Linked DNA regions of Arabidopsis thaliana. The protein of the gene in region 1 purifies or fractionates together with the protein of each later gene. This does not show direct contact. Each region holds a gene or a part of one and is shown on either strand. Other genes may lie near its edges.

Region 1 (9,089 bases):
CTTTCCTTTTATAGTAAGAACCTTAATATGAGCAATACTTTATTGTTATACCAAACTAAAATGGGTACGGTGAGACTTTGTTATTGTGCTATTACGTGCGAGAAGCTGAATGATTACCCTTACCGTTTCTGTATAATTGTATTCCAAGACTCTGTGTTTTTCGATCTCTACAGTGGTAAGCCGATTAATTAATCATTTCAAGAGATAATTAGTTGCAGCGTATGTCTCATCTAATGAGTATTTGCATGATCGGATCATTTATATAACTTTGAAATTTTCATATTTCTTTATTTAGTCAAAATAATAATAATAATATTGTTGATATGTAAAATTTCAAAAGATGGACAGAAATAATGACATATAGTATTTATGTTTACTGAATATATTTGACAAGGCTCTATGACGATTTTTTTTAACATACTGTATTTCTTAAAAATATCTATCTACCTTAGATAGTTGACATGATAAAAAAAAAATATATATCTACCCCAATATATTTCACCTGTATTTTAATTTATAGACATTATGGGGCAATTAATGGTCCAGAAGCTGGTCCCATGAGTGATTAAATTGAAATCTAAGCATTTGCATGATATATAGTTACGTGTCACTTACATACATGTCTTGTATTGTTTAGTTTCACTGCTGAGAGTGAGTTTCTCTATGTACTGTAATGAACTTGGCCGATCGTGTTTTACTAGTTTTTCTCTTGAAAGAAAAATTCGTATTACTGGTACTTGGACTAAAATTTGGTCTCCACACCACTCTCCTCTAATCATTTTACAAACAATTCTATATTTGAGAGAGGATATTATTGAACATGATACAAATTAAATAATATTTTATGAGTACGTATTTGCATCTTGTGAGAAAGAATTAAGTGTTTTCTAAGGGAAATATTAACAATGGGTAAGTGAAAGTAACAGAATGTTTTACCTATAAGGATGTATAATAATATAAAGAGAGAGGAAAAGAAAAAGCCAAATAGACAAAGAAGATATAATTATGATTGGTAGGTTATCTACATGCTGACCAAAGTCACATTTTTACCGGTGGTGCGTCTTTGTGTTGGCGTGATTGATAATTTAACCCGGCCACCACTTGCATCTGCTCCTTAATTTATTTGTAATTGTATGGAAGCATCATCAAATCAACTCCATAAATATAAGATACTTTATAAGCTTTCGTCCATATTAAAATAAACAATTTTTTTTTTTTATAACTTCTTTCTTATTGATATTAGCTTAAAAGATCGTATAAACAAACTTATATACGATCAAACAAACTAAAAAAGAGAGTTCTTTATCAAAAACAAACAAACTAAAAAGAGACGATAAATGAAAGAGATAACAATAGTATGTAATTGTCCTTACATAAAAAAAAAATATGAGCCACGCCAAATCTAAAACGATTTCGTTAAACATATATAGTTCTCGATATTTATCAACAAAGACGATGTAATTCGTAATCTATATACGTACATCTTCTTAACTTTTTTAAAAATATAAAAAGGTGCTTCAGATTCAAGGGACTGAAACTAGTGAGGTTTCTTAAAAGCAGATATATACACTGACCACGTTCAGGTTAATAGTTAGTAGATTTTTAGGTGGATAGTAATATATTGATGGACAATATTTAAATACAGACTATAAAATTTAAGAGACTTGAAGTGTTCCTAAGAGTAAATTTAATTATACATTTTAATCATGGCCTGAAAAACTAAACAAGGAGGGGTAGAATAATTAATCATCTCAGCAGCTTTCCATCTGGACACACCATTCAGCTAAACGACATTGTTTAATCTCTAACCAAACTGGGCTAGACCGAACTGGGTACAAAGATGGGTTAAACTGGGCTAGGCCCAAATTAATCAGAACATAAATTTCGAACGGAGCGACCCATTTCCAAAATAAAAAAATGTTTTTTATATATATATATATATATATATATTTTTTTTTTTTTTAAATCGTTGCATGCAGGTTGGTGGCGATATTTTTTGGTTTTGTCACCAGGTGGTGGTGAAATAAACGACGATCATTGAATATTTTTGGTGTCTTGTATATGTTTGTGTCATTGTGTGTATTTTTTTTTGGTGTGTTGTAACGACGATCATTGATTGTATATGTTTGTCAGAAATTAAGGTTTTTTTAATCAATCAATGCCATGTGAAATTGAGAAACCTTGAAGAAAATTGGATTACATAAAACTAGATACTATAGAGAAGAGGCACATATCAGATTGGTGGATTATAAGTTTGTGAAAATAAAATCATGATTGAACAGATATAATTCACTTGATACAAAAAAAAGCAAAGAATGGATATTCACAAAAAAAAAAAGTTGGATAATTAAGAAAATAGAATATAAAATAAAAATAAAAATCAAACAGCCATCAGTTCTGACGAAAAGAGCCCACCACGGATCTGTCAGATTTATTTCCTTCTTACATATAAAAAAAATCTGAATCGGCTCAGGCTCGTGTAGCCTCACCAACTCCGCTTATAAACTTTCTCTCTTCTGAAAACAGATCTCTCTACTTTGCTTCTTCACTCGACTTGTATCTATCATCCATGGGTATCGATTTATCTGTTTACGATCCAAAATGATTCATGTTTCTTATTTCTTCTTCTCGCCGATGCTGATTTTCCAGCTATTTTTCGTTTTTTTGAAATCTGGTTCTGTATTTTGATTTGCTGTGTGGATCTCTGTTTCTGATGTGTTTTCAGCTTCCGAGAATCCTTTCCGAAGCATATTGAAGGCGTTAGAGAAGCCTGATGGTGGTGAATTCGGTAACTACTACAGCTTACCTGCTTTGAACGATCCCAGGATCGGTGAGTTTCCTTTTATCTCTGATAGATATTATAATATTTTGTTAGAAGACGTTGTTATGATCTCGTTGGTGAGAGTTTTATGAGAGAAATGTTGTGGTGGATGCAGATAAACTACCTTATTCCATTAGGATACTTCTTGAATCGGCCATACGTAACTGTGATGAGTTCCAAGTTAAGAGCAAAGATGTTGAGAAGATTCTTGATTGGGAGAATACTTCTCCCAAGCAGGTTGAGATTCCGTTCAAGCCTGCTCGGGTTCTTCTTCAGGTAGACAATGATTGGTTGCTATACACATTCTTGATGACATAATGATGTTTCTGATTTCCTGAAAATGCTAGAATGTGATATCATTTTTTCTATTTGTTTTTCAGGACTTTACTGGTGTTCCTGCTGTTGTTGATCTTGCTTGCATGAGAGATGCCATGAATAATCTCGGTGGTGATTCTAATAAAATTAATCCGCTGGTTAGTTTCCTCGCTTTTTACTGAGATTGGTTAATGATTTGTGTTCTTTTGGTATGCTATAAGGTTTGATACAAGGCCTTGATAATTGCAGGTCCCTGTAGATCTTGTCATTGATCACTCCGTTCAGGTGGATGTGGCGAGATCAGAGAACGCAGTGCAGGCAAACATGGAGCTTGAGTTCCAGCGTAACAAGGAAAGATTTGCTTTTCTTAAGTGGGGATCCAACGCCTTTCACAACATGCTTGTCGTACCTCCTGGATCTGGAATAGTTCATCAAGTAAGTAGAGGATTCAGGGACAACGGTATTGCTTGGAAACTTAAAGTATTTTTATGCTAAATTCTATAATTTTGCAATTGACAGGTCAACCTAGAATACCTTGCCAGAGTTGTTTTCAACACAAATGGACTTCTTTACCCAGACAGTGTTGTTGGCACAGACTCTCACACCACTATGATTGATGGACTGGGTGTTGCTGGATGGGGAGTTGGCGGTATAGAAGCGGAAGCTACCATGCTTGGTCAGGTAAATCAGATGCTCTTTCGGTCGAGAACTCATAGCTAACTGTCTAACCTCTTTCTGAAACTTTGGTTCTAAACTACATCCTTTCAATAATTCTAATAGACTTTCCATCTCTTTATATGCAGCCAATGAGCATGGTCCTACCCGGTGTTGTGGGTTTCAAGCTAACGGGAAAGTTAAGAGATGGAATGACAGCTACTGATTTGGTCTTAACAGTGACTCAGATGTTGAGGAAACATGGAGTAGTTGGAAAGTTTGTTGAATTCCACGGTACGTTGATAAAAGATTTGATATCATATTTCATATATGTCTCTTATTTACTTACATAGTACCTTACCGAGTTAGGCTAGCTCACATATGCATCGACTGCTTTTTCATACACAGGGGAAGGGATGAGAGAATTGTCTTTAGCTGACCGTGCTACAATTGCCAATATGTCTCCTGAGTACGGTGCGACCATGGGATTCTTCCCAGTCGATCATGTCACTTTGCAGTATCTAAGGTTGACAGGCAGGAGCGATGACACTGTAAGAAAATGCACAAAATGTCACATTTGGGAAAATCTTCATTATTTAGTGTGTTAAAGACTTTCATAATGGTATTGATTTGTGAATTGGATTGCAGGTCTCCATGATAGAGGCGTATTTACGAGCAAACAAGATGTTTGTGGATTACAGTGAGGTAAACCTTGGGCATCCTTAATACTTCATTTCTTATGCCTATTGTCATATATCATATTTGCATAACATATGCTTCACTTGGAACTTGTTGCACATCTCAGCCGGAGAGTAAGACAGTTTATTCCTCATGTCTGGAATTGAATCTCGAGGATGTGGAACCTTGTGTTTCTGGTCCCAAGAGGTACTATTAGTGAATGATTCGACAGAAAATTATCTAGGATCCATTCTACTTACAATGTCTATTCTCTGTGCACAATACAGGCCTCATGATCGTGTTCCTTTGAAGGAAATGAAAGCGGACTGGCATTCTTGCTTGGACAATAGAGTAGGATTCAAGGTTAGTACTCTCCTTTCTGTTGAGAAGATGTGAATGCTTGCAGTCCCGAGAGCTTAATTTGTAGGAAATTATGACACCTCTAGCTATTGTTACTGTAATTTTGAAAGAATGGTACGTATTCGAGTCTTTAAGCGGGTCCAATAAACTAACTTGTACGTTCTGCAACACTTCTGAATTTATAACCTACTTCCATTTTTTCAAAAATAGTGGTTAGTGATACTACTTATCCATGATTTTCCAGGGTTTCGCTGTACCTAAAGAAGCACAGAGTAAGGCTGTAGAGTTCAATTTTAACGGGACCACAGCACAGCTTAGACATGGAGATGTTGTTATAGCAGCAATCACCAGTTGCACAAATACTTCAAACCCTAGTGTAATGCTTGGCGCTGCCTTAGTTGCAAAAAAGGCCTGCGACCTAGGACTGGAGGTTTGACTACTTGTGTGATAGTGATTTAATATCTTTATGTGCAATGGAAATAATAGAAGTGTTTGAAATTTCTCAATTATTAGGTTAAGCCATGGATCAAAACTAGTCTTGCTCCAGGCTCTGGAGTTGTAACAAAGTACTTGGCAAAGAGGTGCTGCAGATACACCGTTGAATGTTTTGTTATTTATTTCCTTATCCTTTGTATTGTGTGGTCCTGAGTTTTCAAGTCTTGCAGTGGCTTGCAGAAGTACTTGAATCAGCTCGGCTTCAGTATCGTTGGTTATGGGTGCACCACATGCATTGGAAACTCGGGGGATATCCATGAAGCTGTGGCTTCAGCAATAGTTGATAATGGTAATTCCTTAAGTAGTTAATGAAGTAATGCTTCTTCACTTGAATTTTCGAAGGTCAAACTAAAAGATTTCTCATATATGTACAAGACTTGGTGGCATCCGCTGTGTTGTCTGGGAACAGAAATTTTGAGGGACGTGTTCACCCGTTAACAAGAGCTAACTATCTAGCTTCCCCACCGCTTGTTGTAGCCTATGCTCTGGCTGGAACTGTATGTTAATGCTAACTCTAAAGCCATTTCACAACATTCAAGCATTCTTGTTATATGAAGCACAGAATCATTCACATGAATATTCTTGTAGGTTGACATTGATTTTGAGACACAGCCCATTGGAACTGGGAAAGATGGAAAACAGATATTTTTCAGGGACATTTGGCCCTCTAACAAAGAAGTTGCTGAGGTAAATATATATGGGCTACTTGTGTAATACGTAAACAATGAGATATTATAAGTGGAGGGGATGCCAAATTCTCTGTTTCGATTTTTCAGGTTGTTCAATCTAGTGTCCTTCCTGATATGTTCAAAGCTACATATGAAGCAATCACCAAAGGAAATTCCATGTGGAATCAGTTATCTGTGGCGTCAGGTACTCTCTATGAGTGGGACCCGAAATCAACTTACATTCACGAGCCGCCTTATTTCAAGGGCATGACCATGTCTCCACCCGGTCCACATGGTGTGAAAGACGCATACTGTTTACTCAATTTTGGAGACAGTATTACCACTGATCACATCTCACCAGCTGGTAGCATCCACAAGGACAGTCCTGCGGCTAAGTACTTGATGGAACGAGGTGTGGATAGAAGAGACTTCAACTCATACGGGAGTCGCCGTGGTAATGATGAGATTATGGCGAGAGGCACTTTTGCAAATATCCGTATTGTCAACAAACACTTGAAAGGAGAAGTTGGTCCCAAAACAGTTCACATTCCCACTGGAGAGAAGCTTTCTGTTTTCGATGCTGCCATGGTATAATCTCACTTTTTTTTTTATCCTTTTGAAAACATCAAATTCAAGCTCTTTGGTCATGAGGTTGGGGTAGGATTACGATAAGCTTTGAATAAGCACTACAGCTCTACTCTTAGCTATAGGTCTACTGTATCTAGCCTAGGACTGAATGTAGTAGATTAGAGCTGTTGTGAGTTGGTTTATAGAACAGTTAGTGAAGGCTGAGGTAATAATAATGTCTCAGCAGATTGTCTTGGGGGTGGAAATTTTGTTGTTTGATTCTCTGATTTGGTCAGTTGGAATTAGAATAGCAGTTCATAGCTTTGTTTTAATCAGATTATTCTCTCCTCGTGCTGTACCAGAAATATAGGAACGAGGGACGCGACACAATCATTTTGGCTGGTGCTGAATACGGTAGTGGAAGTTCTCGTGATTGGGCTGCCAAGGGTCCAATGCTTCTGGTACATTTTCTGTATTTAACAAACACGTTCTTACACTTATTTTATGCGGTTTCTTTAAAAAATTGTGACAACAGGGTGTGAAAGCTGTGATTTCAAAGAGCTTCGAGCGAATTCACCGAAGCAATTTGGTGGGAATGGGAATCATACCTTTGTGCTTCAAGGCGGGAGAAGATGCTGAGACCCTTGGCCTAACGGGTCAGGAGCTTTACACCATTGAGCTCCCAAACAATGTTAGTGAGATCAAACCAGGACAAGATGTAACAGTCGTCACAAACAATGGCAAATCTTTCACATGTACACTCCGATTTGACACAGAGGTAAGTTATCTCTAGATGATATATTTTCGTCTTTTCGTCTTTGAGTTTTTTTTTTAGCTCTAAAACAAAATGAGATGAGATAAGTAAGAGGAATTTGGAATCGACAGGTGGAGTTGGCTTATTTCGATCACGGAGGGATTTTGCAATACGTTATCAGGAACTTGATCAAACAATAAATCTGGTAACACCAGAGACTTGAGTTATATATCCCAAGGTTTGTTGCAATAAAAATGTTTGCAGGGAGGAGGACGAGAATGACTTTAATTTAAACTTTTGCTTTTGTTCTTCTTCGTCTCTTGCTTCGTGCTAGTCAATTGGAAACATTATCACTGTCGAGTCATTTTTTTTCTTTCAAATAAACATGCGAGCTCTTTTTTTGTTGTTGTTGTTCATAAGCATTGTCAATGCTGCATTGATAGAAGTATACTCTACCATTAGAAAATAAACACAAATACACAAAGTAATCTAAAGAGCTAGAGGATGAAAATTATCTTGTGAAGGTTGTACAAAAACATTAAAAAAAATCTGAGATGATCCAAAGGATTGATTATCACATTCGAAGTGATGGTCAGAGATTACCTCTTGGAATGTTGTGTAGAGTTGATGAACTTATGAGAGCGGAACCATTTGGTTGATGCCCACTTGGTTCCTTTGATTACTGGACTCCCACCTAAATCAAACAGACAAATTTTTGAGAAATTTGTTTTACATCTCATGATCTCAAACAAGTTATAATTAAGGGTTTATTACGATTTAAAACAAGTTTAGAGAAAGGCAATGCCTCTTACCATGCTTACTCGAAGGGTCTCGAGACCCGTCGGGTCTCATGCTCCAAAAGAGTAAAGCGTCTCCCTTCTTCGGTCTAACAGAGACTCCTTTTTTACTTTTAATTCCTTTGGCTTCAGGGAAAACTGTTTCGCCGCCTTTATCAACATCCGAGCTAATTAGTCATACGATGAGAAAAGAAAACAAGATTAACTTATGCAAATATTGTAAAATTTTTACATGGCTGATGAGAAAGATTATAAAGGGTTTACATACAGATACATAAGAACCGTAGCAATTCTTTGAAATCCGTCAAAGTGAGGCTCAAATTTCTGCCCAACTTCATAATTGATAACTTGAAGCGTTTCTCCGTTTTCTGCACATAAATTACATAAAACTTCACAATAATGTAATGATCTTAGACCTTGTTTGGTAAGAAAATCCAAACTATGGCCAGTTTAAAAACAGAAGCCACATACCTTGAGGAATGAAGGTGAATTCTGAAATCCTTTTCTCAATCTCTTTGACGATTTTGTCATGTCCACTTCTAATAAAAGTTCCTGAACTCGTCCGTGAGCTGCACATTAACATATTTCCAAATCTCAAATCTTTCCAAACTAAACTTAATTAAAGAGGGAAAATCAAATGAAAATAGAGTACATAACCTGCTTTCTTCACCAAGTCCAGTTAACGCATTGCGCACCTTGGACCTCGCCATACTAGGTTTCGCGAGGCTAATCAAGTGATCACATTCTTCGTTTGTCTTACAAATTTTAAAGAAGAGAGCCTAAGATCAAATCCTAAACATTTGCATATAAATCATGAGAGAAACATGTGTTCCCTAGCTATATATGCGTGTTTACTGGAGGAGTGAAAGAGAATTACCAAGAAATTATGGTAAACAAAAGCTCTAGGCTCCTTCGTTATGACTTCGAGCCAACGCTCGTTTGGAAAGCGTAACGAAGCAGCAACCTTCACCATGCTACAA
Region 2 (5,278 bases), on another chromosome or scaffold:
CTAAAACCACATAACGTGTCACATAGGTGAAATTCTGTATACTATTATAAATATCAGATACCGACTAGAAATATCACATTTTTATGCTCTTGATTCATATTATAATCCTCCAACATGAGACTTTTGACTTTTTAAATCAAAGGTAAGAAAACACTATCATGATTTATTAAATTAAATAAGATCACGTCAAGAAAACTCAATGAATCTGAGTAAGCAATGACTCACATTACGAACGGCAAACCAATAATAAAACATTAAAAATGTATATATTTAAAGTGTATTAATACATACAAAAATAAAAGGTGTTTTCGTGATCAATTATAATAAAGTTCCAAAAAAAGAAAGGAGGTTTTACATAATTGGTTAGGACCACACAACTTGTCATCTGTCGATACAACAAGGCGTCGAGCTGACTCAGATTAATGAGTTAATGGGACCCACAATCACCTCTCTTTTGAAAGGCCCAATTATCAACGTCCTTGTCTCCCGGGCCCACGACAGCTGCCCTTGTACCCCGTTTGCCCTACTTTTTTCTTTTTTTTTTAAACTCACCTGCAGTTGACACGTGCGGTGATCCTCGCTCGTGCGCCAGCTAAGATCCGAGTTCGTGCTACGTGGCTGTTAGGTAAAGGTCTTAAGGTTTGCATGGGAATTAAAATCTGTTGTTTTGAGTCTACGGTTACTATTTGATCTTTTAGGGTCGTCGTGTATGACACGTGGCCTTAGTTACTGAAGAATGATCTCAACCGCTGATTAATTCGAATGGTCTAGCTCTACGCTATAGCCAATAGCTACTTTCCTTTTGGGCGGTTGTAATAGGTAGGTACGACTTATACACACAACGAAATATTCATAGCTAAACCGGTTTAATCCGATATAAAAACCAATTTGAACAGTTCCACGTAATGCCATGTCATATATTTTTAACCAATTATGTACTGCCATATCTACAACTCCACGTAAACTTCTGTAGTTACTAAGTGGGCCGGTTCGTGTCCCAAATTAGGCCCATATCAATGGGTTTTGTAAATCAACGGTCGCTAATGTTCCCAGTCTATCGGTGCCGAGATGGATCACCGGGAAAAGAGTGACCGGCGACTACTGCTATGGTTCTTCGCCGTAGCCACCGCCGTAAAACTCCTTCTCATTCCGTCGTCCAGAAGCACCGATTTCGAGGTCCACCGTAACTGGCTCGCTATCACAAACTCTCTTCCTCTTACCAAATGGTACTTCGACGAGACTAGCCAATGGACACTCGACTATCCTCCTTTCTTCGCCTACTTCGAACGCTTCCTCTCAATTTTCGCGCGTCTCGTCGATCCCAGGATCGTAGATCTTCAATCAGGACTCGATTACAATGCCGAATCTGTAATTTACTTCCAACGAATCAGCGTAATCGTCTCAGATCTATGTCTTCTCTACGGTGTTTATCGATTGACTCGAAAATTAGAACCGTTGAAACGAAATCTGATCTGCGCATTGGTGATTTGGTCTCCGGGGCTATTGATCGTAGATCACATTCATTTTCAGTATAATGGATTTCTACTGGGTTGGTTATTGCTTTCGATTTCGTTTCTTCAAGAAGGGAGAGATCTTTTGGGTGGGTTTTTATTCGCAGTTCTTCTATGCTTTAAGCATTTGTTCGCCGTCACTGCTCCGGTTTACTTTGTTTATCTACTTAGGCATTATTGCTGGTCTGGTTTAGTTACTGGTTTCCGACGGCTTGTAACTATTGGTGCGGTGGTTGTGGCGGTTTTTGCTGCTGCCTATGGACCTTTTATCTATCATGGACAGGTTAGTGTAGTTCTTTCCTATTCAATGTTGAAGAATATAGCCAAATTCTTTTGAGTTCAAGTTGAAGATTCTAATGTTGTTGATGTGTTTAGGAGATTGTGAATCATTTTTGTTGTTGTTTGATTTGGCAAAGAGTTAGAATTTGTTAGAAATTTTGGTGCTAGAGAGCTATTTCACTACTTTTATCAATGGAAATTATCCTAGACGAATCAGTGAATCTCTATACATCAATCAAGTCAAACCTTGTCCTAAATAGATTTATTGAGAAAACATCTTATGGTGGTAGTTTTCGTGTTCTCTCGTTGTGTTGCAGATACAGCAAGTCATCAGTAGAATGTTTCCTTTCGGGAGAGGATTGTGTCATGCATACTGGGCACCTAATTTTTGGGTTTTCTACATAATACTCGACAAAGGGCTTGCGGTTTTGCTGCGGAAGCTAGGATATGAAATTCAAATTCCTTCCGCATCTTTCACTGGAGGATTAGTTGGAGATTCTTCGCCTTTTGCAGTTCTTCCTCAGGTACTACTCTTCATGAGTATCTGTCATATCTCATGAATTGTTTCACTCAATCTTATTCTGTTGGACTGGTGCAATGACAGATCACGCCATTGACAACATTTGCAATGGTATTACTAGCTATATCTCCATGTCTCATCAAAGCCTGGAAAAAACCACACTCGGGGCTCGTTGCTAGATGGGTAGCTTATGCATATACATGCGGTTTTCTGTTTGGATGGCACGTCCATGAGAAAGCATCGCTTCACTTTACCATCCCACTTGCAATCGTTGCAGTTCAGAGTCTAGAAGATGCTAAACATTACTTTCTGGTTTCCATAGGTATATACTATTCTCTAACCAGAATCAACTTTTACGCATAATCATTCATTCCTTGTACTTAATCTCTGTATTTTTCCTGCAGTCTCTTGCTATTCGCTCTATCCACTCTTATATGAACCGCAGGAGTACCCGATCAAGGTTCTGTTGCTGTTATTGCATTCCGTGGTAATGTGGCTCGGCTTTGCAGCTCAATACACAGATTATAAGGCGCAGAAGAAGGAGACTAGTGAAATCAAGAGCAAGTTTAGGATTGGATGTTTTGAGAAGAGCTATCTAATGGGTTTGATTATAGTAGAGATAGTGTCTCAATTCTTGCATCCGTATTTTCTAGGTGATAAGTTGCCATTTTTGCCTTTAATGTTGATCTCAACATATTGTACCGTTGGTATTATGTACTCTTGGATTTGGCAGCTCCGGAAGATCCTGACATGACATATAGATAGATTCATGTAATAGTTAACTTGATTTTAGTACTACGTGAGTTTTTCCCTCCGTAGTATATGACTTTTCAGTATACCCCACGATACTGCATTACTGCTTCGGTGACTCTCAATAAAGTGCAATTGAGATTTCTCGGTTCAATAAAACATACATCGGTTAGGCTTAATAGAATAAAGATATTGGGTCTTAATAGTTAAATGGGCTGTAATATTGGCCCAATGTAAAACATAAGAAGCACTGACGAGAAAGCTGGAGCCAAAGTCGTAACGGAGGAAGAAGAAGATCTGCTTCTGCAAAAAACCTTATCCTGCTATGGCTTCCACTTTCGTCTGCTCTCTACCAAATCCTTTCTTTGCTTTTCCGGTCAAAGCAACTACTCCTTCGACGGCTAACCATACGCTTCTCGGTACTTAACTATCTGAAAGTTATTTTGATGTTTCTTCCTTTTCGGATATAAAGTTTGTCTTTTTGATAATTTGTTTCCTCGTGTTTATGCAGGAAGTCGAAGAGGTTGTCTTAGAATCAAAGCGATTTCCACTAAATGGGAACCGACAAAGGTACTGTCTTTTCCGAAAAATGTATTGGTTTCTCTGTTTTTAAAAACTGGTGATTAATCTTAGTGTTGAGGTGATAATTGCAGGTTGTTCCTCAGGCAGACAGAGTTCTTGTTCGTCTTGAAGATCTTCCTATTGTCAGTTTAGCTCCTTTATTGTCTGAAATGTCATGATTATTATCAATAAGCTATTAATTTGATGAATCACTAAATTGAATTCCATTGCCAAAAACTTATGGGCTCTTAAATTGTTATTCTGAAGAAATCCTCAGGTGGAGTATTGTTGCCTAAAGCAGCTGTGAAGTTTGAGAGATACCTAACAGGAGAGGTAAGTCATTTGCTCCTTATATGTTTTATATAACTTGTGTTAGAGCATCTTTAATTAAGAATAGAGAATCATTTCAGATTATATCTGTTGGTTCTGAGGTTGGACAACAAGTTGGACCTGGAAAGAGGGTAAATGTTTCTTCTTAAGTCAAAGACATAGTTATTTATCCATTGTAACTACCGTGAATCTTGTCTTTATCTCTTTCTCCTTTGCCTTTCACAGGTTTTGTTCTCTGATGTGAGCGCTTATGAGGTGAATTCCGCTTCTCTGCAGTGTATTTGATTAGTTGTTGTCCTGTCCTTGTGTGGTTTTAAGGAATATAGAATCGAACATCTCTGAATTTGTTTCTCAGGTCGATTTGGGAACCGATGCTAGGCATTGCTTCTGTAAAGAGAGTGACTTGTTGGCCCTCGTTGAGTGAAGTCTTGTCCAAGAGGGAGAGATTTGAAGATTTTACAAGTTTTCTGTAATTTTCAGACAGCAATTGTTGTTTCTAGTTAATCCTTCAATTTAATATCAATTGAGATCACTTTCAGAGATAGTCATATTCAAAAAAAAAAACAAGTTTTCTCTTTCTCCTTCTTCCGGTCCAACATAGCCTCCATGTTAGCAGCCTCGACTAACTGACAAAGCTCGATCATTTTATTGACTCTGTAGCGTAGAGAAATCGGACGGTCAACAATGAGAAAGTTTGGATTTTTAGGAAGTTTCCGTGTGAGAGCCGATGGAAGTGAGGATAGATCTTTCCCAAGTGGATTTCTAGGGATCGACCGCCACAAGCAATGAAGATGAACTAGGTTTTACGAAACATAAGAGTTTTTTATAGTCATGTCAAAAAAAAAAAGTTGCGATTTTTAAAACATAAACGGAGACTAAAATCAAAACTCAAAAACTCGGAGCTCGATCATGCCTTCTTTTCTCTTTGGAGAATACCAAGCCACGATTTTGCCAGACTCAAGAAGCCTCAACGAGTAATTCAGACTGTATATCACATCTTCCATGCGTGCAGCTCCTACCTGAAACTGCGAGTCTACTTTGAAAACAATCGGACCCGCAACCTGCATAACAGTGTGATTAGTGGGAATTGCTTAAACATCATAGACTCTTTTACATCTTTTGATCTTTGGACAAAAGCTTAATACCTGTTGCTGGAATATCAGGTTGAGTCTGGGAGACCACAATGTGTCGTCTGAGTTGTTACTACTTGCATGGAAGAGTTTTTTAGCAAGGGCAAAAGCTGAGGGTAGGTCCACGCGAGCATCTACTCGGGTAAGATCGCCATACAACTTACTAAACCGTCCTTTTTGGAACGTATAACAAGCAG
Region 3 (8,027 bases), on another chromosome or scaffold:
AAAGGTAATATTTTAGCGCTCTATTCCTCGAAATGTTATAAAATGGATTCCATCATGACAATTATAAACATGTATGCTTCTGCTTATTAGGTGGCTTTTGGATTAGTAAGTTTTGACTAAAATGCATTTGTTTTTGTCCGTTTTTTTTATAATTTACCCAGTTGAGAGTAGAAGAAGTGTTATTAAGAGGGCTTACATGGAGCAAGCTGCTTGACCCCGAGAAGAAGGGTCAGTGGTGGCTTTCTGGCGATTTGGTGGTTGACTCAAACACCGCTGAAGATATAGCAGAAACAATGGATGCAGAGGTTGTTGAGGCCCAAAAAATGTTAAAGCTAGCTGAGGCACAGAGGATGAATACAGATTCCAGAAAAGCAATATTTTGTGTGATCATGAGTAGTGAGGACTACATCGATGCATTCGAGAAACTTCTTAGATTGGATTTGCCAGGAAAACAGGACAGAGAGATCATGAGGGTTCTAGTTGAATGCTGTTTACAGGAGAAAGCATTCAACAAGTTCTACACAGTCCTTGCTTCAAAGTTGTGCGAGCACGACAAAAATCATAAGTTTACACTGCAGGTACGTTTTTACTATCTAATAGAACCGAAGCCATGGTTATGTAACCATTCTTTTTTCTCTTATCATCTCTTGTGTTTTTTTTCCTGCAGTATTGCATTTGGGACCATTTTAAAGAACTAGAGTCGATGTCACTTCAGAGATCGATGCATCTGGCGAAATTCGTGGCAGAGATTATTGTAACCTTCAATCTTTCTCTTGCTGTTCTCAAATCCGTTGACTTAGCAAATCCAGTGGAGTTAACTCCAAAACGAATCATGCACTTTCGAATGCTGTTCGAGGCCATCTTTGAGCACCCTGAGAATCTTGTGTGGAACTTGTTCACACGCATAGCCTTGAATCCGGAATATGAAGCTCTACGAGATGGCATCAAGTTCTTTGTGAAGGAATATGTTGTGAAAAATAACAAGGCAATCTATGGGAAATTCAGGAAAGCTAAAGAAGCACTTAACAATGCAGAAGGATTACTCATGTGATCCTGTTGTTGCCACCAACAATTTTGAAGTCTCTTTTTGTTGTACACACTATCTTCTAATTTAATTAAAGTTTCTACTTTGTAAGATTTTTATCATTCACCATCTTCAATAAAAATTTACTGAAAACGATCTTAAAAGGTTGAGGTTCTTTTACACTAATTGAATTTGGTTTACTAACTAGGTTATTTTCACACAATCTTAGAGAGAAAAATAATATTAAAAACTGCAAATGAGCAAGAACTTTTCTTCGAGACCGAGCTACAATCTTTTTCTTATTTGAACTCAAAGAGACTTGAATTACTGAGATAAAACTTGAGAACATACAACATCTCAGATTTTACAGAGTTAAAACCTTCTACTTGGCTACAGTCTACAGTTCAAATGATACATAAACATCAACGAAGATGTTCTCCAAGCGAAATAAATCTTCGAGTCTAAAGTGGTGGACCATGAGACTGCAACCTAACATCAGCCACCACGCTCTTTGTGGGGCAATTCAGATTTTCTTTTTGCCAACGAAATAAAGAAATCTAAGGGAAACAACAATCTGATACAGGAGCCAGATAGAGACATACAAAGGGGCCTACTTCAAGAACAGGCTACAAAGCACTGATTGCGTCGGATAAAAAAAAGTAGTGAGTTTAGGACAACGCAAACAAAAGTATTTGTATAAGAATCAATCCTCTTATTCCTTTTCAAGATACTTTAGAAAAAAGACATTCCATCAGAGAAATATATTGGAGACAAAAAGAAAATCACAAACATTGCATCAAATCCAAAGGATGCTATAGCCTTTCTCTCTCTCAACAAGAAAGAAACCATATGCATCAAATCTACCTTCGACTAAAAATATTTTTAAGAAAGTTATTAAACCAAATAAAACACAACCATTTTAGAGAAAAAAAAACGTTTCCTTGTTCAAATCAAGCTTTTCTTCACTTGGCACTGGCGAGCTGGGAGCGGATGAGCTTAGCCGCATCAACCATGTTCTTGAGTGCAGGCTTGACCTCGGTGTACTTACGGGTCTTGAGACCACAGTCAGGGTTAACCCAAAGGATGTTCTGCTCTAGGACAGCAAGCATCTTGTTGACCCTGTCTGCGATTTCCTCAGAAGATGGTATTCTTGGAGAGTGGATGTCGTAGACTCCTGGACCGATTCCAGCACCGTACTTCACTCCTTCACGGAACACGGAAAGAAGCTTCTCATCAGACCTGGAGTTCTCAATGGTGATGACATCAGCATCCATGTCGATGATGGAGTGTATGATGTCATTGAAGTGGGAGTAGCACATGTGAGTGTGGATCTGCAAAAAAAAAACACCAGAAACACATAAGTTATGAGCAACTGAGAAAGCATTACACTACATGAGACTCGTTATGTGTAGTTTTTATTTAAGCAAACCTGGGTGCTGTCTTGGACTCCACAGTTGGTGATTCTGAAGGAGTGGACGGCCCAGTCCAAGTAGAAAGCATGCTCGGATTTCCTGAGTGGTAGTCCTTCTCTAAGTGCAGCCTCATCAATCTGAATGACACCGATTCCACCTTTCTCAAGATCCTCGACTTCGTCCTTGATGGCCAAAGCGATCTGGTAACAGGTTTCGTGCCTACAATGATTCCAAGATTGTCTTAGTGTTTTGTTCTTTATTTGGTGTTTATGTTTGTTTTTAGATTATAGTAACATTATGTACCTGGGCTGGTCGTTCCTGACAAAGGACCAGTTGAGAATGGTGACGGGACCAGTAAGCATACCCTTCATTGGGCGAGAGGTCATGCTCTGAGCCATTGCGGACCAGAAGACGGTCATTGCCTTGGGACGGCTCACATCACCATAGATAACTGGTGGCTTCACACAGCGAGATCCATAAGATTGGACCCATCCGTTTGCAGTGAAGGCAAAACCAGACAACTGCTCACCAAAGTACTCAACCATGTCGTTTCTCTACAAAATTGTGAAAACATGTCTCATCAGAAACAGTACCAAGGATTACTAGAAATATCAGGCAAAAACATAGAATAATAAAAAAAATTCACCTCTGGCTCTCCGTGGACAAGAACATCGATGTCAAGTTCCTCTTGGAGGTCAACAACTTTCTTGATCTCTTCCTTGATGGCTTTAACGTAGTCCTCCTCTGAGACCCTAGTAAAAGAGAGATTAAAGAAACCATTAGCATCACAACAATTTAAGAAAATGTGTGACGCATAAGCCCAAGGATTAAATTTAGGAGACTAACTTTTTGGCCTTGTACTCACGACGAACTCTCCTGAGCTCTACAGTCTGTGGGAAGGATCCAATGGTTGTGGTTGGTAGGATTGGGAGATTGAGCTTCTTCTGCTGAGCATCTAGCCTAGCACTAACATTGGTTGCACGACGGTGGTCAGATCCCTTCAAAGCAGCAGCCTGAGATAACAAGAATGAGAAACTATCTCAATCAATACAAGATTAGGAAAATAAACCATTGGGTGAGCACAGTGCATCAGTTTGAAATCAAACTTACAGCCTTCTGGACACCCTCGTTGGTGACTCTTGGGGAAGATCTCCTTGAAGCCAAAGCCGCAGCATTGGCAGAGAAAAGAGCCTGAAAGAAAAAAAATATTGAGTTCTAGATTTTTCTGGATCAATTACACTACAGATAATTCAAGGGTCCACTACTAGGGGAGCATGTGGGTAAAATACCTCGTCCTTCTGACCAGCCAAAGCCTTGGCCAAAGCGTTCACTTCAACGACCTTCTGGGCAGCAAACGCCAACCATGACTTGATTTCATCATCAAGCTTAGTCTCATTGATAAGATCAACAGCGGTGTGGAGAAGAGAGCAGGAGGTTGAGACCACAAGCTTGTCTGCATCAAAAAGACAACAGATCAACATTTCATACAGTTGTTTTTCAATAATTCCCTAGTAATGTCAGGTAAAAGGCAGATGATTTTGGAAGAACAATTACCTTTACCAACAATGCCTTCAAGTGCCTGCAAGGTGCTTAGGGACGCAGCAAAGTCGTTGGCCCAGATGTTCCTTCCATCAACAACACCAGCAAAGAGGTACTTTCCCTCAGGGAAACCTGCCTTGACCAAATCAAGGGTCTTGGTGCCACGAACCAAATCAAATCCAAAGGCAGTCACACCCTTCAATGAGGTTAGGGTCTTGTATGCCTCAGCAGGGATATCAGCGAAGTAGGTCTCGACAAGAACATTCAAACCAGAAAGAGTTGATTCAAGTTCAGCATAGGCACCAGTAAAGGCCTGGAGTTTCTGACCCTCAAGATCCATAACAAGGACAGGCTCGTCAAGCTGAATCCAGGTGGCACCAGCAGCCTTAAGCTCGGTAATCACTTCCCTGTACACAAATCAAAGTCATTATATCAGTGGTATGTCAGAGGATCATTGATAACATCAAGGATACGGATGGCATAATAAAGAAAAACAATAAAGTGATTTCTTACTTGTAGATCGGGAGAATCTTAGGGAGAAGAGAAAGAAGTTCGAATGACTTGTCAACACCCTTGGCAGCCTTGGAAAGCAGCAAGTAAGAGACTGGGCCAACAAGTACAGGGACGGTGTCAACACCAAGCTGCATAAACATCAAGTAAACCAGATCAGAACTTCGTAGAAAAAAAAACTACTTTAGACAACCAGTGCCAGATGACTTTTCTAACGGTTTTTATATTCAATGCATCCGAGACCTTCCTAGCATATTAGCATCCTCAGTGAAACACCACTCAATGAATCTAAGCTTAAACACTATATCCTCAAACTAAAGCCTATGATCTCTAATAGTTAATTAGACGAGCAAACAGTAATTTCCTAAGAAACGGATATTAGTAAAGAATGATACGTACAGCCTTGGCCTCCTTGTACTCATTCACCGCCTTGTGGGATGCGTAAGAGAAGTTAACCTCAGGGCCCAACTCAGGGACGATGTAATGGCTGCATCAACAAAAGCATAATCAAATTAGTCCACAACTCAAAAAGACCAATGTCAACAAAAAGAACACAAGAGATCAATGAAGACTCACTAGTTGGTGTCGAACCACTTGGTCATTTCCATGGCAGGCACAGAGGCATTTCCTCTAGCCATGGAGAAGTAAACATCAAGGCCGATCTCACCACCAGTGTATCCATACCTAGGTGGAACAGCACCGAGCATGGCGGTGGTGTCAAGAACCTGGTCGTAGTGAGCAAAGGTGTTGCTAGGGATGAACTTAGTCCCAGCGGCAGACATCTGTTTCCAGATGGATGACCTGAGATCAGCAGACACCTTCTGAAGATCCTCAGCAGTGCTCTTACCATCCCAGAAAGATTCCAATGCAAACTTGAGCTCTCTCTTAGGGCCCATACGTGGGTATCCAACAATGTGTGAAGCCATTTTGATTTTCTTTTACTGCATTAAAACACACAAACCAAATCAAAATCAAAATCATAGTATAAAATAACGTTCTCTTAATTCATAAACTTCTTAATATTAAATGATTTAATTAACAAACTCCAAGAAAACCGTAAAGCAATCACAATTCACGTGTATAAAAAGTTTGTGCAGCTTTTTGAGTCTACTACTACTACTACCACCACTTGATACTGTAATCGAAAACTTTCAGATAAAAACACATGCGACATTCATCGATCAAAAACTTTAGATCTAAACGAATACGAACACAGAAACACCAATCATTTTCAAAGGAAAGATGACGATAGATCGTAAACAGATCCAGAAACCAGATCTATAAATCGAACAACACGAAATATCCAGATCTGAGTCAAATGAACTCACATAGCGAATAGATCTCAACAAATGAGCAAACAGATCGAGGAATATAAAAAAACGAGAATGAAACGAATCACACTAAAAGCGAAGTAGTAATAATAACGTGGAGAAGGAAGGAAAGGGAGCTAAATAAGAGAGACGTAAGGAAGACATAGAAAGTCGGAGACGAACCTGACGGAGGAAGAATCGGAGAGGAGGAAGGAAAAAGGGTAGGCTAAGAGAAGGCGAAAGAGAGAGCGAGGAAGAAGAGTGGGCTGTGTGAGTTTATTTATAGCGAAAATAAACGAGATACATCATCGTTGGGCTCTGTGTCATTTCTGTAGATCTGGTGGTGCTCGATATTTTCGCAATTTTATTTATTATTTTAAATATCCCTATTTATTTATATTATTGGTGTATGTGCATTTTCTCTGAATTTGATGTTATTTTTCAACACACTTGAGTGTAGGATTATTTCTTTTTTGTCTATTGTTTGAGTTCAGTATTTTTTTCTTATATTCGTAGAAATAAGTATGTGTGCATTAGTAGAGCTAACAAGTAAGAAATATAATTAAAGTATCATATTGGTAAATTAAAAAAAAAAACTGAATTAATATTGCCATCTTTTATAGGAAAATTAAATTACCAGATGCCCCATAAGTAATTTTTTTAAGGAATTTTTGTTGGGTATGTATTTTTAGCTTGAATTTTGTTTTTTTTTTTAATTTATGAATGAGATCTTGATTAATTGACGAAAATATCTGAACAGAAAGGTTTTTCAAAAAAAATATTGGAGATTAGAAATGAATAATTAATGGTTAGTATTACTAAGGTTGAAATCATTTAATTAACTTATAATAAAAGTATATTAAGAGATTAAAACGTGAAGGGGAGTTGGTGTACGTGGGGAGATTAGTGGGTGGCAATGGGACCCATTGAGGTTGGTGGAGATTCACAATTTGATTATTTCCACAGTAAGGTTTTCTTCTATTATTGATACGACGCCGTTTCAAGTGTCAGCACGAAAGAGTATCAAAATCAAGGCCTGTTCCATAGCGTTTTGGAAACAAATCGAATTATTTACAGGGAACAATACTCCAAATTTCAGTGATACAACTCTTTCAGTTAAATATAGAAAGTCGAATAGTTGTCAAATCTATATGTATATATAGAAAGTTGAATATCTGGTAACACAATTTTACTTGAACAAGTAACAATCTTGTCTGGCCATTAGTACACTTGTGTAAGTCAGATAAAAACTATGTATGTTTTTGGTAAATAGAGTAGGTAAAGAAACATAAATTATGGACCTACTGTATATAATATAATATTATTGTTTAAGATTCATAAGACAATGAGTATACGCGATGGATTAATGGTCTTAATCTTTTTTTGTTTGCTGGTAATTTGGCTACCAAACTTTGATTCTTGACCTTTATCAACGAACCTCATTGTTTTAATTTCCTAGGTCATTTTTTCTTTCCTAACCTTAAATGTAACTTTTGGTTTGCGTAAATCATGAAAGAATATTTTTTTGTAAACATATTTTAAGTTTTATTTTGTTCTTTCAGTCTGCATTAAAAAATTTCACGTACTAGTTACCAATTTCAAAATATTTGTTTTTTTTTAACTCTATAGCAACTGAGGAAGTTTAACCATATCGTGCATAAACTACGTTATAAGCTCTTTTGCGGAATTTAACATGAATTTTCTAAGTTTGGAATATAAAATTATATTCAACCACTTCCACAACTAGTTTTGGAGTATCTTTCTATTTGTATGGAACTGGTGTAGGTCAATTTTGAGTTCACTAGGAATTTATCAAGAAGATGCTATTGCAAACAACACCAAAAAGTCAACAAAATGTTTATGTGATAAACAAAAAATTAGTACTATATGTATGTTTGATGATTTTATTACTTGGTAACTTTAACTATACATCAAACTGGTAATCACACAACAAACAAATTGAACAACATTTAATTACATGAGACTTTAAATCTGCAGGACAGTTGCATATGCTTCCTCGACACTGGTTTGTCGGTGGATGTAGATCTAGTATGTACACAAATAAAGATAATCACACAAGCATTTATTGAAAGTGAAACTCGCACTCTATTTTTTTCTTTCTATTTACTTGTTGTACGACATAAAGAATTGAATACTTTAACAATCCAAATGAAAAACAAACAAAAAAACTTTTCTTTAGGAATTATTGAACTAAATCGTATGTGTATTAGT
Region 4 (7,631 bases), on another chromosome or scaffold:
CAATAACGATTTGTTCGATAAAGCGAAGAGATTGAAACGGAAACATGTTTATAGTACTATCATCTCTAGACTACACAAAACTATCCGAAAGATTAATTCGATGGTCATGGTTATATTCCGGAGATGATACACAACAATTGTTTTAAATAATTGGGTTTTGTAAGTGCAAACGATACACATAAGTTAAATCTTGAAAATTATGTATGTATAAATACAAAAGAAAAACATTATGCATTCAGAAAAAGAAGTGAAGACAAAGTAAGAAATGAAATGATAAAATTAAGATAATTAAACGAGAAAAGTGATAGATTAAGAAACCATTAATTGTCTTGAGTAATTTTTCCAAGGATTTCTTCCATCCCGGCGTAGGAGATTCTATCTTCAAAAGACATATCTGCGCTTAAAAACATAAGATTTATACACACTTTCAAATAAACATAAAATATATACACAAATCTTACAATCTATTATGCGTTTACGCATACCATGTGATTGGAAGATGATTCCATCGATCTAGATTAGATATGTTTTGTTATTTGTTCCTGCTCTTGAGAAACCTTAGGAAAACAAAAAATTTGGGAGGTTTTGGGTGGTGAAGAAAAGTTTCTTCTTTTATTATATTTTGGAAATATGGATATATGATGATAAGAGATATCAATCTATGAATTTTTTATTTTCCTTAATTAGTAAAAAATTTCGATCTATGGATATCAGTATATCGTCTATGAATTTTTTATTTTCCTTATGATAAGAGATATCAATCTATGGATATATGAATTCTTTTAGTTTCCTTATATATTGAATATCATATTCTCTTTTCAAAGTATGGAAACTTTATCGTCTCTTGCATGTGATCTCGCCGTTAAAACTTATAGTATATTCTGTAGGATTGATGATATGTAAACGTGTTTATTCATTTAACTTTCTTACAAAAAAAATTGAAAGTAAATTAGGTATGTAATGTGTAATGCGATATTTCAAGACGCACAAGTATATATTAGTCGGAACATTTTGTCAAATTCTTTTACTTTGGGAATACCGAATACGCATGATACATTAGGCATTAGCGAGAAATAAGAAAAAAAAAATGTCTCATTAAATGGTCGTGCGTTTTTATATCTATATCCCACCGACAGCCGACAAAACCATAGCAAGGCATCTACTGATCTACTAATGCTTCGGAATAGACCGATGTTGGATATTGTGAGGAAATATAAAATTTACCGGATACAAATATTTCTGTGTTTTGTTTTGAAATTTGAAGTTACTTGTTAAGCGTCTTGATGGATTAAAGTTTTTTGAGTCGAAAAACAAAAGAACGGACTTTCTCATGTGAAAGCATTAAAAAAAAGAGTTCTTGCTACAAAACAAGTTACAAGAGATGGTAGAAATACACTTCTTTATTCGAAACATAGAATTTTCGTATTAGTCGTCCAAACAGAGCATTGAATATTCTTTACTGAACTAGTTTACCATTTCATACTAGACTTCTTTACATACATTATAGACGTATATTCCTCATTAAGGTGAATATTATGACAACTTATGGTTAATAGGTTTCAAACGTCATTGTTGAATAAAAAAAATTATGTGAAGATCAAACCATAAGAGGGACGTGGAGGATCTCATAATCATTCACCAACTTTGTTTACCAAACAAATCTCCAAATTTGTGTGGCAAGAATTGTTGGTACTGACTCCCAAAAATGAAATTAAAAGTGAATATCTCACCAACTCCCTAATGGGCTCCACCCACCAATCCCGCTACCTCCTTCTCCTCATGTATACTCTTCACAAACAACACACACCAACTCTCCTCCCCACCTTCACATTTTCAATTCCATAATTAATCCCCTCTTAAGCTCTTATATCTTAATTAATACTACGCTTTACAATACAACATACACTAACCCCTTAATTAACCCTTAAACAATTGTTTTAAGCTTTAACTAGCCAGTGAGGACTTGACAAAAGTCAACTAAAATTACCAGTAAACTAGTACTAATTCAACGGAATTAAGTTCTACCAGCTTATATAATTGTAATGTCATGCCATGATCAAATACATTTTTTTATTATGTAAACCGTCGTTATACGTATAATTCTCGAAAGTTGTATATAATTGACCGTGCCCTTAAATTTGAAAGATAAAAATTAGTATCATTCTGGATACATGGATTACACGTATTTTTATTTATCATATAGTATAATGTTGTAGAGAGGGTAAAAACCTAAATATACGTATTTTGATGTACATGTACGTATTATTAATTTAAATAGAAAAATAATCAGCCACCACGAGTGAGTGAGAGAAACCAAGGAACGATGTGTAATTGATTTGCTATAAATAAGCTTAACACAGAACACTCTCCATCGTCGCTCTCTTTGCCCATCTCTCATCTCCACTCTTCTCATTCCGTAAGGTACGCTTCCGAGTTTCCATGGCTTCCGCATGACTATTCTTGCTCTCTCCCTTCCCACTCTCTTATTTACCTTCCGTCTCTTCGTTTTCTTCTCAATTCAATTTTCGTTTGATTCCGTTTCTTCTTCGTTCGTTAATACTTAGATCTTAATCCGGTGAGTGAAATTCTATGAAACACAGATCTGGATTTTTTATACGATCAGATTCGTAAAATCTCTGTTTTGCGATCTTTCTCTGCGTTAGATCTCTGTTTTCCCTAGTTGTGATTCGTTTTGATCTTTAAACTCTCTCATACTCTGTTTTCAATAAATACGACAAAAAAAACTGCAAAAGTTTTTTACTTTTTTAACGATTGGTGGCTTTTACCATATGACAAGAAGTACATTTTAGGATTGTGTTTGGTTTACTGACTGATTTTGGTTTTGTTTGTGGTTCAAATGTAGTAAAAAAACAAAAAACAAACAAAAATGGCTTCCCACATTGTTGGATATCCACGTATGGGACCTAAGAGAGAGCTCAAGTTTGCATTGGAGTCTTTCTGGGATGGCAAGAGCAGTGCCGATGATTTGCAGAAGGTGTCTGCTGATCTCAGGTCTGATATCTGGAAACAGATGTCTGCTGCTGGGATTAAGTATATCCCAAGCAACACCTTTTCTCATTATGACCAGGTGCTTGACACCACCGCCATGCTTGGTGCTGTTCCATCTAGATATGGATTTACCAGTGGTGAGATCGGTCTCGATGTTTACTTCTCCATGGCTAGAGGAAATGCCTCTGTTCCAGCTATGGAGATGACCAAGTGGTTTGACACCAACTAGTGAGTTTCTTCTCTACTCTTTAACTTGTGTGTTGACATTGTTATTGGATTTGTGAGTTGTGTTATTAACGTATTTTTTTAATGTTTCTGTTTGATGCAGCCATTACATCGTCCCAGAGTTGGGCCCTGAAGTGAAATTTTCTTACGCATCTCACAAGGCTGTCAATGAGTACAAGGAGGCCAAGGCTGTACGTACTCAACTAATTTTCCTATTTGAACATATATAGGCTTCTTTTGGTCTGGTATTGAATGTTCTAATATAGTAATGTGGTGTTGTTAATGCAGCTTGGTGTTGAGACCGTCCCTGTACTTGTTGGCCCTGTCTCTTACTTGCTTCTTTCCAAGCTTGCTAAGGGTGTTGACAAGTCATTTGATCTTCTCTCCCTTCTCCCCAAAATCCTCCCAGTTTACAAGTAAGAGATTACTTTTGCTCTAGTACTCAATTATTCTCTTTGACGCTAGGAAATTTGTTTCTGACATACTATTGGAATGGTGAATCTTTTCTCAGGGAAGTCATTGCAGAGCTTAAGGCAGCTGGTGCCTCCTGGATTCAGCTTGATGAGCCTCTCTTTGTCATGGATCTCGAGGGTCACAAACTCCAGGCTTTTAGCGGTGCCTATGCTGAGCTTGAATCAACTCTCTCTGGTCTGAATGTTCTTGTGGAGACCTACTTCGCTGATATCCCTGCTGAAGCATACAAGACCCTTACTTCCTTGAAGGGTGTGACTGCCTTCGGATTTGATTTGGTTCGTGGCACCAAGACCATTGACTTGATCAAGTCAGGTTTCCCACAGGGCAAGTACCTCTTTGCTGGTGTTGTTGACGGAAGGAACATCTGGGCCAATGACCTCGCTGCCTCTCTCATCACCTTGCAGTCACTTGAGGGTGTTGTTGGTAAAGGTATTATATTCTTCCAGAATCTCTTATGTGGATTACTCAATTAGAAGTGTTTAATTTGTTATCTTTCTCTAACTCGTTGGTTTTGTTATTTGTGAATTGGTGCAGACAAGCTTGTGGTCTCAACCTCTTGCTCTCTTCTCCACACTGCCGTTGACCTTATTAACGAGACTAAGCTTGATGCTGAAATCAAGTCGTGGCTAGCTTTTGCTGCCCAGAAGGTTGTTGAAGTTGACGCATTGGCCAAGGCTTTGGCCGGTCAGACAAATGAGGTATTGTAAAAATCCTACAAACATGTTTCCCAAGTGAACCCTTTGTTTGAAAAAGACTTCAAGTCTCTAATATTTCTCTCTTTCAGAGTTTCTTCACTGCCAACGCTGACGCATTGTCTTCGAGGAGGTCTTCCCCAAGAGTCACCAATGAGTCTGTCCAGAAGGCTGTAAGTTCTTGCTTTCATACTCAAGCTTTCTTTACTATTATGATGGTTTTCTCTGTATGATATATGTTTCTATTGATCCTAATGATTTGTAATTCCTGCAATCTCAGGCTGCTGCTTTGAAGGGATCTGACCACCGCCGTACAACTGAAGTTAGCGCAAGGCTAGATGCTCAGCAGAAGAAGCTTAACCTTCCAATCCTCCCAACCACAACCATTGGATCCTTCCCACAGACCGTGGAACTCAGGAGAGTTCGCCGTGAATACAAGGCCAAGAAGTTAGTCTCTTAATCATAATTTTTTTGCATTGATCATTTAAGCATGTTTAGTAAGTTGATTGTGATGCTAACTGGAACTCTTTCTTCTACTAGAATCTCTGAAGAGGATTACGTCAAGGCCATCAAGGAAGAGATCAAGAAAGTTGTTGACATCCAAGAGGACCTTGACATTGATGTTCTTGTTCACGGAGAGCCTGAGGTCAGTCTTTGTCTCTTACTAGACCCTAAAACTAATTACAACGTCCTGTTTCTGACTCAGCCATGCTTTGACAATATTATAGAGAAACGACATGGTTGAGTACTTTGGAGAGCAATTGTCAGGTTTCGCATTCACAGCAAACGGATGGGTGCAATCCTATGGATCTCGCTGTGTGAAGCCACCAGTTATCTATGGTGACGTGAGCCGCCCCAAGCCAATGACAGTCTTCTGGTCCTCAACAGCTCAGAGCATGACCAAACGTCCAATGAAGGGTATGCTTACAGGTCCAGTCACAATTCTCAACTGGTCTTTTGTCAGAAACGACCAGCCCAGGCACGAAACCTGTTACCAGATCGCTTTGGCCATCAAAGATGAAGTGGAAGACCTCGAGAAAGGCGGTATTGGAGTCATTCAGATCGATGAAGCCGCACTTAGAGAAGGATTGCCTCTTAGGAAAGCCGAACACTCTTTCTACTTGGACTGGGCTGTTCACTCTTTCAGAATCACCAACTGTGGCGTCCAAGACAGCACTCAGGTAACAACACTGTACACTTAAAATCTCAAATAGTGATGAATGTTTCTGCAACTAACTTCTTTATTTTATCTTCTAGATTCACACTCACATGTGTTACTCAAACTTCAACGACATCATCCACTCAATCATTGACATGGACGCTGATGTCATCACCATTGAGAACTCTCGTTCAGACGAGAAGCTTCTCTCAGTGTTCCGTGAAGGAGTGAAGTACGGTGCAGGAATCGGTCCTGGTGTTTACGACATTCACTCTCCGAGAATACCATCCACAGATGAAATTGCAGACAGGATCAACAAGATGCTTGCGGTTCTTGAGCAGAACATCTTGTGGGTTAACCCTGACTGTGGTCTGAAGACAAGGAAGTACACTGAGGTTAAACCAGCACTTAAAGCCATGGTTGACGCGGCTAAGCTTATCCGCTCCCAGCTCGGTAGTGCCAAGTGAAGAGCTTGAAGATATTATTTCTATATTCCGGGATTTTTCTACGTGGTTTGTGTTTGTTCAGTTTCAATAACTTTTCTTCCAAGAAAAATATTTTAGCCAAAGTTAGGTTTTGAGGGAATGGAGTCACACTCTCTCGCTTTCGTTGAAGAGAGTTTACGGCTTTATACTATATGTTTCTCTTGTTGCAATGTTATATGTATCTTTGTTTTCTCTAATGAAATATATGCTTCTTTGATCTCTTGAAAGTGTGGATACGAATTAATTTGTTATACAAGCCCCCAAAATGTGAAATCTTAAAATCACTACTAGTGTTGTAGAACTAAAGAATTTGCTGAAAATAATCCATTATTGTTATAAGATCATCCACCATACTACAAAAAGATTTGATTTGATACCATGAAAAAGGACACAGTTTCGAACCTTTGGAATGCTCGATTCGTGCATGTAAAGATCACTTGACGTGGTATACCAGAGAACCAAAAGTAGTACTATATTTTCATGTCTTGTTAACCATTTCTTTTGCATGGTGTAAGCATTTCTTTTCAAAGTACCAAAAGTGCGGTATTTCATTTTATGTGGAATTTCTTTTCCAGAAATTTATAAACTTTATCACCGAACGCAAGTTACACAATAACACTGCAAAAGTGAACCCAAAAAAAAAAACCCTGTAAAAGTAAAAATTTGCTTAAACTTAACATTCTTTCACCGCTCCGTGACGTGGACATTTGGCTGGCAAAGAAAAGGCATAACATCCAATCAAAGATATCCACGTAGTCCGATTTATGTCACGAGAGCTGACGCGTCACATTATGCATTTTTTTTTTTTTTTTACACATTATGCATTTGATTAAGCATCTGTTTAACTTCTTTTACCATTTTGTCCCTCAAATTTTCATTCCCTCTAATTAAAAAAAATAGAATTAATCCACAATAAATTCTTGAAAAACTGATGATGCCACAGAAATTCACAAAATTATTGAAAGGCTACAAAAAAAAAACAGAGAAGTTTCAGACATATGATGACTGTGTATGACCTTGTCAACGTCTGACGTGTCGCACATGTCACCACGTGTCATAACGATGTAAAGCAAACCAGTTAGGTGTCTGGAGAGAGAGATATGGACTTCATCTCTTCTCCGAGTCTTTAGCACGTCACAACTTCAAAGGACTCTATCGTCATTCGCCGTAATTTCTATCTTAATTACTGTATTACCCTTAGGCTCGGAGATCTCTCTTCTCCCCGTTTCTCTCTCTCTGTCTGGCTCATTCAGAAACTTTTTTATACGCCTCTGTTTCTTATGGGGAAGAGGGTATATTCTCTGTTTTGATTCGCTTCTGTCTTAACACATTGAAATTTTCCATAGAAGATTCCATTGTGCTCTTTTAATCCTCTTCTCTTTCTCTCTGTTTTAAATACCTGTCTTTAATCGCTTCTCTCTATCTCTCTCTCTTGTTAAATCTCATCGGAGTTCAATTTCAGGTAACGGAAAATTAGTTTTTATTTATTTTATTGGTTTCTCTCTTGTCTGATTATTTTAAACTCAATTCCAGTTTTTGATTTTTACCCAAAAAAAACAGTTTTTTTTTTCTTTGGTTCTATTGAAG

Evidence for each region.
Region 2: the proteins of ACO1 (region 1) and CHL-CPN10 fractionate together in Arabidopsis thaliana (co-fractionation; one large-scale study listed by BioGRID). This does not show direct contact.
Region 3: the proteins of ACO1 (region 1) and ATMS1 fractionate together in Arabidopsis thaliana (co-fractionation; one large-scale study listed by BioGRID). This does not show direct contact.
Region 4: the proteins of ACO1 (region 1) and MS2 fractionate together in Arabidopsis thaliana (co-fractionation; one large-scale study listed by BioGRID). This does not show direct contact.

What each region holds. Positions count from the first base shown.
Region 1 is NC_003075.7:16,971,430-16,980,518, reverse strand, and holds ACO1 (aconitase 1), read left to right. Parts: upstream 1-2,357; 5' UTR 2,358-2,569; coding exon 2,570-2,573; exon of another isoform or gene 2,574-2,725; coding exon 2,726-2,830; intron 2,831-2,936; coding exon 2,937-3,097; intron 3,098-3,201; coding exon 3,202-3,294; intron 3,295-3,385; coding exon 3,386-3,571; intron 3,572-3,655; coding exon 3,656-3,817; intron 3,818-3,939; coding exon 3,940-4,084; intron 4,085-4,198; coding exon 4,199-4,341; intron 4,342-4,438; coding exon 4,439-4,495; intron 4,496-4,595; coding exon 4,596-4,675; intron 4,676-4,755; coding exon 4,756-4,831; intron 4,832-5,072; coding exon 5,073-5,258; intron 5,259-5,341; coding exon 5,342-5,409; intron 5,410-5,493; coding exon 5,494-5,612; intron 5,613-5,698; coding exon 5,699-5,820; intron 5,821-5,911; coding exon 5,912-6,010; intron 6,011-6,099; coding exon 6,100-6,579; intron 6,580-6,920; coding exon 6,921-7,019; intron 7,020-7,093; coding exon 7,094-7,336; intron 7,337-7,443; and 3 more. Other genes in the region: AT4G35820 (2-oxoglutarate (2OG) and Fe(II)-dependent oxygenase superfamily protein), read right to left, coding at 8,090-8,276, 8,378-8,477, 8,581-8,678, 8,767-8,888, 8,987-9,089. UniProt on the Arabidopsis thaliana protein: Catalyzes the isomerization of citrate to isocitrate via cis-aconitate. Contributes to oxidative stress tolerance. May have a role in respiration.
Region 2 is NC_003071.7:18,418,618-18,423,895, reverse strand, and holds CHL-CPN10 (chloroplast chaperonin 10), read left to right. Parts: upstream 1-3,064; 5' UTR 3,065-3,385; coding exon 3,386-3,479; intron 3,480-3,571; coding exon 3,572-3,630; intron 3,631-3,713; coding exon 3,714-3,764; intron 3,765-3,888; coding exon 3,889-3,954; intron 3,955-4,031; coding exon 4,032-4,082; intron 4,083-4,176; coding exon 4,177-4,206; intron 4,207-4,306; coding exon 4,307-4,375; 3' UTR 4,376-4,526; downstream 4,527-5,278. Other genes in the region: AT2G44660 (ALG6, ALG8 glycosyltransferase family), read left to right, coding at 1,069-1,794, 2,108-2,314, 2,395-2,632, 2,715-3,064; AT2G44640 (TRIGALACTOSYLDIACYLGLYCEROL-like protein), read right to left, coding at 4,833-5,012, 5,097-5,278. UniProt on the Arabidopsis thaliana protein: Functions as a co-chaperone for protein folding in chloroplasts.
Region 3 is NC_003076.8:5,933,155-5,941,181, reverse strand, and holds ATMS1 (Cobalamin-independent synthase family protein), read right to left. Parts: upstream 6,145-8,027; 5' UTR 5,979-6,144; exon of another isoform or gene 5,814-5,978; intron 5,427-5,813; 5' UTR 5,412-5,426; coding exon 5,062-5,411; intron 4,973-5,061; coding exon 4,885-4,972; intron 4,617-4,884; coding exon 4,489-4,616; intron 4,383-4,488; coding exon 3,991-4,382; intron 3,890-3,990; coding exon 3,726-3,889; intron 3,628-3,725; coding exon 3,547-3,627; intron 3,450-3,546; coding exon 3,283-3,449; intron 3,189-3,282; coding exon 3,083-3,188; intron 2,991-3,082; coding exon 2,740-2,990; intron 2,656-2,739; coding exon 2,454-2,655; intron 2,356-2,453; coding exon 1,987-2,355; 3' UTR 1,317-1,986; downstream 1-1,316. Other genes in the region: AT5G17930 (MIF4G domain-containing protein / MA3 domain-containing protein), read left to right, coding at 1-4, 162-578, 668-1,051.
Region 4 is NC_003074.8:954,715-962,345, forward strand, and holds MS2 (methionine synthase 2), read left to right. Parts: upstream 1-2,147; 5' UTR 2,148-2,421; exon of another isoform or gene 2,422-2,575; intron 2,576-2,863; 5' UTR 2,864-2,887; coding exon 2,888-3,237; intron 3,238-3,337; coding exon 3,338-3,425; intron 3,426-3,522; coding exon 3,523-3,650; intron 3,651-3,745; coding exon 3,746-4,137; intron 4,138-4,242; coding exon 4,243-4,406; intron 4,407-4,492; coding exon 4,493-4,573; intron 4,574-4,680; coding exon 4,681-4,847; intron 4,848-4,940; coding exon 4,941-5,046; intron 5,047-5,128; coding exon 5,129-5,581; intron 5,582-5,657; coding exon 5,658-6,026; 3' UTR 6,027-6,318; downstream 6,319-7,631. Other genes in the region: AT3G03776 (hydroxyproline-rich glycoprotein family protein), read right to left, coding at 319-394, 486-509. UniProt on the Arabidopsis thaliana protein: Catalyzes the transfer of a methyl group from 5-methyltetrahydrofolate to homocysteine resulting in methionine formation.